Bombyx mori: one gene and its partner. The protein of the gene in region 2 interacts with the protein of the main gene of each other region in a pairwise test. Links are inferred from orthologs where the notes say so. Each region holds a gene or a part of one and is shown on either strand. Other genes may lie near its edges.

Evidence for each region.
Region 1: the proteins of BRCA1-associated protein (region 2) and high mobility group protein 20A interact in a two-hybrid assay, tested with the Homo sapiens proteins (2 studies listed by BioGRID and IntAct). The link is inferred for Bombyx mori from reciprocal best matches to the Homo sapiens genes BRAP and HMG20A.

What each region holds. Positions count from the first base shown.
Region 1 is NC_085114.1:10,481,823-10,486,101, forward strand, and holds the start of high mobility group protein 20A, read right to left. Parts: upstream 2,897-4,279; 5' UTR 2,748-2,896; coding exon 2,474-2,747; intron 2,380-2,473; coding exon 2,220-2,379; intron 2,121-2,219; coding exon 1,987-2,120; intron 997-1,986; coding exon 890-996; intron 773-889; coding exon 665-772; intron 314-664; coding exon 154-313; intron 1-153. UniProt on the Homo sapiens protein: Plays a role in neuronal differentiation as chromatin-associated protein. Acts as inhibitor of HMG20B. Overcomes the repressive effects of the neuronal silencer REST and induces the activation of neuronal-specific genes.
Region 2 is NC_085122.1:14,176,578-14,181,086, forward strand, and holds the start of BRCA1-associated protein, read left to right. Parts: upstream 1-1,430; 5' UTR 1,431-1,737; coding exon 1,738-1,813; intron 1,814-1,922; coding exon 1,923-2,163; intron 2,164-3,101; coding exon 3,102-3,266; intron 3,267-3,387; coding exon 3,388-3,563; intron 3,564-4,509. UniProt on the Homo sapiens protein: Negatively regulates MAP kinase activation by limiting the formation of Raf/MEK complexes probably by inactivation of the KSR1 scaffold protein.

The DNA of each region.
Region 1 (4,279 bases), on a different chromosome or scaffold from region 2:
ACACTGCTTAAAGCTAGTGTTTCAGTCAAAGCATTAGTTTCAATGACAATACATGGTCACAATGTCAATTTGAAACTCATGGTTTTGATAAATAAAACATAAAATGACAATTTACTCAATAAAATTAGTGTTGAATAATTACACATTGACTACCTGGTAAAGCTAATGTCTGAAGACCTTGCACTAAGGCTGCGACCAGACTACGTTTATGAGCAAGCAAAGCAGCAGTCCTTTCAGCTGCTGCAGCTGTTTCAGCTCTGAGTTTCGATGTAGCGCCGCTTACCTCTTCTGCGTGACGATGTAAGATTGCATTCTGATGTAAGTACAAAATATGTATAAAATTTTTAATCATTATCTATATAAGCACCATTTTAGTGCTTGGTAAGATTGAAGTATAAATAACAATAAATATTGTGGTGTACATATTTTTTGGTAGGACAGGCCATCTGTCAACAAATAGGAAGCCGAGAGACATAGAAGTGAATAACAACACCCATCTTGAAAATTGTAAATATGGCTGAAGTTCTATCTTTCAAACAAGAGTCCATGACCACTAGCTCCTACCAAATAGGTAAGATGGTGGTACCAGTGAGTGCCAGTCAGTCATCATAATATGCTATTAAATACTCATAGAAAGCTGCTGGACCATTCATGCTCCATTTACCTGCTGTTCGTAATCTGAATTTGCCTTTCTTAATTGTCTTAACTCAGATTCTCTCAGTTTGTTATGTTGCAGAAATTGATCTGTGAAGATTGGTATTTCCATTTCACCCTGTAACAATAAATTTACTACTTTACAAAACTTTGTTTACCTTCCAATTTGAATTTAAGTAGGTATTCAACAATTCTTTATGCTTTTTATGCTGACAATATAAACTGCAGAACTTACAGATGTAGGATTAATACATGGTCTTGGTCTTGGTGGGGTAGTCTGACGTGAAGACATGTTTGTTGTAGAAGCACTATACACTGTACTTTCTCCTGGTTGGGTACCCCCTATAAGAGTAAGTGTAAGTATTGTTAGTTTTTTGTCAAAGCACTTTTTTCATCAAATAAGTTGCTGGATTAATTTTATATATATATTACGTAATAGTGAAATTTTAGTGTACTTCAATATTCAACATTTTTTAACATTGTATTACAACATCTAGTTTTGCAAGCATGTAATGCCTATCTGTATGAATGCTTAAAGAGCTCCCCTTAAACTGAATTTAATATTAATGTTACTATGAATTAATCTCATGTAAGGTACAAATGGCACTATTTTCTTTATAAAAAGAGCAAATGAGCTCACGGCTCATGTAGGTTTATATGGCTAGAGACGTAAACATGGATGTCTAAATGCTACTACAATTGTATTGTATAACAGCTGTCCTAACCATCAAACTAATGTGCTAGATTCTTCATGCAAGATCGTAATACCAGACGTATGCTTGGTCTTGTTTTTGAGAAATTGTTGCGCCTAATATTTTTTATGGATTATATGGTTCTCTATTGATTTTTTTTTTTATTGCTTATATATGTGGACGAGCTCACAGCCCACCTGGTGTTAAGTGGTTACTGGAGCCCATAAACATCTACAACGCACATGCGCCACACACCTTGAGATATAGTTTTAAGGTCTCAGTATAGTCACAACGGCTGCCCCACCCTTCAAACCGAAACGTATTACTGCTTCACGGCAGATATCGGCAGGGCGGTGGTACCTACCCGTGCGGACTCACAAGAGGTTCTACCACCAGTAATTACGCAAATTATAATTTTGCGGGTTTGATTTTTATTGCACGATGTTATTCCTTCACCGTGGAAGTCGATCGTGAACATTTGTTAAGTACGTATTTCATTAGAAAAATTGGTACCCGCCTGCGGGATTCGAACACCGGTGCATCACTCGATACAAATGCACCATTCGTCTTAACCTTTAGGCCACGACGACTTCGTAAAAAGAAAAGAAAAAAGAAAATTTTAAAAGAATATTGGATTTACCAGAAACTGAAGCGTCTACTTGAGGAACCTGCCGTAACTTCTTTGATAAGCTACCATCTTGCAGATCAGATTGTTGTTTTGTGAACTCTTTATAAGCATTTGTTCTTTTGTATTCCGCACATTCTTTAACATATCTGTTAATTTAAAATACACTATTCGTATTTAAAATAATTTCAAATATATATTATTTACATCTCATGAAATTTAAATTAGGTACTTGATTAATGATTAACCTTTCTTTATCCTGATCTGCAGCATCTAAGTATTGTTGTTTTTCTTCAGCTGGAAGTCTACTCCACTCGCTAGCTAACTGTCTGGTCAATTCTGCAAAACCCAAATCTGGCTGTTGTGCTCGCAACTGATCTCTTCTCTCATTTAAAAATCTTACATAACCTTAAATATGAATATTCGTTTGTCTTAAAATTGTAAATAAAAGATTTTAATAAGGAATTAAGTAAAAATAAGACATCTAAAATAAGAGCTAAACCTGTGAGAGGTTGACGGGGTGCAGTTGTATCGCGAGCTGCTTTGGGTTTTCTTTTTTTGGGCTTTTTAGGTGATGTTTTTGGAACTTCTTTTAAAGCACCCGCCGTGTCAATCGCAACGGGCGTTTCAGCAAGCACATGAACATTAGATACTATAGGCACTTGAGTCAAGCTTGAGTCAGTGGTCACAGGTTTCGGGTCTTTTTCAATATTAATAGGCTGCACTTCTGAATTCACTGTATTTACAACGTCCGATTTTAAAGAATCGCTTTCCATTGTTGTTTTACTTCAATACATCCAACACAATACAATAACTATACTTAAACACTTTAATATCGGATTTTGGTTTAAACTAAGTAGAAAATAGGTATAGATAGGTAAACAAAGCAAAACCCTCAGCACCATAGATTAAACACTTAACTTTTTTAAGGGATTTTACGATCTGGTAACTAAGACCTTTAGGTCAAGTCTTATTTGAATTTATCCCCTGTTTTCCAATCACAGCACAAGAGCGCATTATGCGGCATAATGCCCAACTAAGCTTCAGCATAGGTAATTTCCATATATAATTTGATTAATATTTTACCTGATTTTTTTATTTTTAACTGATTTTCTTTTAATATTAATAATTAATTGATATGAGTCAAATGTAAGAGAGAGATAGAGAGACAGAGAAGTGAATATATCCCATAGACCTATATAGTAGGGACACGACATATTGTTCTATACGTACAATTGCTTATATAAATAGCACCCATTTTGAAGGCACATACATAAACATATATCTATCTCGTTCTTACTCAGCACTTTAACTCGCAGGAAAACAATATAACAGTATTTCAGTGCGTACATAAAATGAAACATGAATATACGTAAATATCTCCGTCTCCGTCTAATGAGGCCGAAAATCCGCCATGTTTAGCGCGCCAAATGTCATTGTCACGTCAGTTCGGCCGTCTGTTTTGGGTTGTACATTATTTATTGACTTTGATATCGATTTAATATGATTGATTATATAAAATTTCATAATTTATCATGCTTAAAACATACAAAAATAATAATTAAAACGTATTTTATAGGATCTCAAGAAAGTCGATGCCCTAAAACTATTATCTATATGTATTTAAATTCATTATGGAGCCCTCATCCGAAAAATCCATTTTTCGGTCGGAATCTATTGATCATGACACCATAGATTATACACTTAATAATCTATTCATCATGACACTAATCATAAATACCACTTTAAAATATGTCATCAAAACATATTTAGACATTCTGTTTAGATATTTCGGGAAAAAGGTTACCGACAAAATCTCTTCGGAACTATTTAACTAAAATAGTTTTATTCCGCAGTGAGTAAAACACTATTGTAAATTTGTTAAATATTTAATAATTAAGTGATTTTAGAGAGGAAGTCACAAGGAATGACGTTTGTAATTAATGAATAAATGTTCTGTAGGTGTTTTTTTTTTCACGCGGTCCCTTGATAAGTTTAAAATTTGAATCACTCTCAAGCGAAAGTGATTCAAATGGTGCGGCGCACCTTCCTTGGGGTGCATTGCGGTAGTATGTTACGGACTTTAGAGTCAGCAAAACAATTAAAATAGATTGTTATAGTCTAAGAAAAACACATACTCAAAATACGATAACATTTAGCATGCTAGAAATGGGCTGATGGCTTGAACTACGCCATATCTTTATGTTTTGCGACAAACGACAACTTTATAAAATCAGTGTAGCAACTTTTAAAAATCATCATATCGTTTACTTGGCAAATTCGAAGGACGAACTTGTCTTAGATTTCA
Region 2 (4,509 bases):
CAACGAACAATCGATTAGATTATAAGAAAAGAGAAGCTTCAAAATACATATGCGTATCTTGATGATATTGAACTATTTCTGGCCGTACTCTTGAAGAACACGATTATAACTTAGAAAGTTTTATGAATGCCGCAAAGAAATACGGTTTAACACTGAGTATACAAAAATGCAAATTTTATCAAAAGTCAATTAATATTCTAGGCTATAATATTCAAAACCACATAATTAAACCTGACAATGAGCGACTCAAGCCACTGATTAATTTACCTCCACCAAGCGATTTACCGATCTTAAGAAGGACACTCGGCATGTTCGCACATTATTATAAGTGGATTCCAAAATTTTCTGAACGGATCCACTCACTTGCTAATACGACGATTTTTCCACTCACAAGCGAGCAAATTAAATGTTTCGAAGGCTTGAAAAATGATATCGCAAAGTCTTCTATACATGCAATTGATGAAAATATACCTTTTACAGTGGAAACTGACGCTTCCGATCATTCCATTGCAGCAGTACTTACACAAAATTCTAGACCAGTGGCAAAACAACAGTGTCGAATCGTCATCTAGCACCATTGGGTTCAGAAAGGGTAGATCTGTGAATAGATAATGAACACACTATTGATTATCATAACGTCGCAGAACCACTTCCGGAAACAGAAGACCAAAACTTGGAGATTCCTTCATCTAATGAAACGGGACCTGTGGTACATGATAATAGCAGAGAGCTAGAGACAGAATTACCATCATCATCACCGCCGGAACCAACACTTATGATTTACTCCATCTTGCTAAGTCTAATTTAAGTAAGTCATGGCAAGCCTACTGGACAGAGTCCAGTAAGACGAAGGGAGGCTTATATGCTTCAATCCAACCCACCATTCCTACAAAACCATGGTTTTTTAAATTCAAAAAGATTTCCAAACCTGTTATATCTGTGCTCTGTAGAGTTCGTTTAGGTCATTGCTGTTCTCCGGTATTTCTACATAAAATTAGAATACGTGACAATTCGTTGTGTGAATGTGGTTTGGACGACGGCAGTATAGATCACAATTTCCTCTATTGTCGCTTGAACAACTCATTCATATGGGACCAAGCTATTAGCGAACTGAAAATTCAACGGCCGGTAAATGTCCACCACCTCCTCTCACTATTCCCAGACCCCCGTAAATGCTTTTATTAAGTTTATAACTACTAACTCTATAAAATTATAATTATTTGTAGTGCATTATTCTCTGTACATAATCTTTATTATAATATGTAAGTTTATAGTAACATTAATTTTGTGTTAGTCCCAGGCACCATTATTATTTCCAAAATTTGATACTTTTCATAATATAAAGTGTGTATAAATAGCTCGACAATATTCCATGTGTAGCCATAACACGACACTGGCAGAAATTGCTGAAAATATCGGCAGATTGCATTATAAAAAAAAAAAAAATATCTATGGTCAACACTCAACACAAACACATTTATTTCAGTTTCACAACAACGACAAACGTTCACAATCCGCAAAACAGTTTCGATTCCATTGAATTTACAAGTTATTACGTGTAACTAGTTATAATTGGAAGTTTTTCTAATTTGAATACCCTTTATATGAAATTCGTTTGAACGAATTTTTTAAAAAACAAAGTTTTCTTAATGGACAAATAGTATTTTTGAGTTGAGTTTCATTCTTAGTTGTGCTCCAAGAGTTTACGAAGATTTGCGATTATAAATAACTTTTTAAATGGCCGTCTCTTTGTGTGTACTACGTATTGAAATAGACGAAGAACTGTCCGAAATGGCAGACGGTGTTAACAATGGTGAGTGGCAATGATAAATAATTTATCACGTATTGCATAGATATGCTTTTGATTTTTACTTACATCTAAAAAAAAATGTTATTATTTCAAATATTCATATGATCATCAGAGGCCTCTAAGGACCAGAAAAGAAAGGACCGAGGAGCAAGGGAATCCAAAACCATAACAGTTGAAACATATGCTAGTGTTCTTAGTGGACCCAACACTGACCCAGGCATACTACCTACAAGTTCCCGCCGCTCACCTCCAGAGTCCAGCAGTATATCTGAAGACGATAACACTATTAGTTTTTTCTGTGGAAATCCACTAGTTGAAATTACTAAGGGCATATTACACTTGTACAAGGAAAAGTGAGTGATTTGTATGATTTAAAACACAGTAAGACCCTGCTTCATGCAGGGCATACATTATGTCAAGTTGTCATGTTAGAGCATAATATAGAACCCTATTAAATAGGGTTATCGCATCATCTCAAAAATTGGATTAAGGGAAGATTGGTAGAAAATTGTACAGGTACTTTACCATTAAATTTTAAGTTTTTTAATACACTATTATTAGCTTCAGACGTGTGTATGTATGTTTGTAACGGAATCTTTGAACATGATTTTGACCCTCTTCAAAACATCAGATTAACTTGAAATTTGGTGTACTTATTAAAGACCGATGACAATTCAATATTTAAAAAAAAATTGAAAAAATTGAAATTCAACTAAAAAATGAAAAAAAAATACTAGTTTAACAAAACTAACAAAATATGCTTTTATAGAAAATCCAACTAAAAAATATAAAATAAATTTTAATAAATTCCAATTAAAAATAGTGTAAGAAAAAATGATTTTATTGTAAAAAAGTGTGGGGTGCTTTTCAGGATATTATCAAACTAACCCTTCTACTCATATCTGTTCATAAAATATTTATAACTACTTATACCATGCACCCTTATATCAAGAACAGTAAGTAGCATTCACAATGAAATTTTCACTGTTTATACAATTGAACAGGAACAAAAGACTTCAGTATTCCGTTAAAGTCAAATAAATATTTACAGATCAAATTGATAACTAACAGTCACATACCTGTACTGTAACAAGTAAGCTCATGAAGGTGATATTGTGTAAACATGAGGGCCGTTGACTTGTGGAAACCATTTCCAACACAATCACAGTTGATTGTATCTCATGAAACTCATGACATGGTCTAGGATTTCAATAGATTCATAGTAGGTTCGTTTCCACAAAATTTGTTAACAAAAAAATTGTCTCATAATTACGTTTATATAATTTAACAGTGAAATGAAAGAAGCAGAAGAAGCCAAGACACTTTGCCTACTCGCAGTTCCTGGTGCTTTAGGTGCACCCGACCTGCTTGCATTTGCTGCAGCTTGTCAACAGGATATTGCACATGTGAGGGTTCTCAGAGATGGTTCACCTGATCATTACATGGCACTATTAACGTAAGTTTATTTAAGGAGCCAAAAATATTAGTGTTACAGCTGTAATCGAGTATGGTAATACACAAATTTGTTTATGAGTTTTTTGTCATTGTTATACTAACAATAATCATTTCTTTTTTAGATTTCGCACTAGTCAAGCAGCTCGAGAATTCCATGGGGCTTTTGATGGGGTTCCATATAGTAGTTTGGAACCAAATGCACTGTGTCATACAGCCTGGGTGTCAAGGGTTGAATGGGCAAAGGATGGTTCCCCACCACCATCACACACTGAGCTCCCTACTTGTCCTGTTTGTTTGGGTAAATATTCACAGTTTTAATGATTTATATTTTATACAATCTAGAGTTCTCAGTATTATCAGTATTAATGGTGGTAAGAGTGTTGCAAGCCCATAGTGAAGTGTCATGCTTTCTTGAGGGCTGGAAGACTGTTATCATACAATACAATTGCATTCAAGTCTGAGAATTGTTATTTTACACATCACATTAAAATAAATGTTCATTGCCAACAAGTAAGTAAATGAAACCAATATATTGGGTCTGTTTGGCATGAACTGGGCTGACGCTGACCATATCGATTACATGATTGGATCTTCCCGTGTCGCGTCACATGCCGTCAGTTGTGATTGGTTCCAAATCAAAGCAAATTAGCGATAAAAACTCGACAACGTACCTGTCTTTTTAAAAAAGGGTACGAAATGATAACTTTTTGGAAGTCGGTTAAAAATAGAGTTATTATTTTATAATATAATATGAGCGAAATCCTGGGCAAAACTATTATAAAACATTAATACGATTTTAAGTTTCAAATTTAACAATATTAATTTAATTTCAAAAAAGGAGAGTGAGAGATCCATTTAACTTTACCCTAAGTGTACAATGTGCAGACGCCCCTACTCTTCTGGAGAACACGTCATTTCGAATCCTCCCGATCCACTAACGGTGCTTTTAGGTCCGGTCATCGTTCTCGTCGAACCCGTCGCTTGCGACGAAGAGCTCGACGAGTAAATTAACCCTCAGACACAGCCCACTTAGTTTCTCGCCGGATCTTCTCAGTGAGTCGCGTTTCCGATCCAATGGTATATTCTGCGAAGCACGGCTCTTGCTAGGGTTCGTGTTAGCAACGTCGTCAGGTTTGAGCCCCGTGAGCTCACCTACTAGTTAAGGTTACGGTGATATAGCCTATCAAGGCTCTCAGCTTAAGTAAGAAAAAAAAATTGTGGAGAAGTCAGGCAGCGTGCGGATG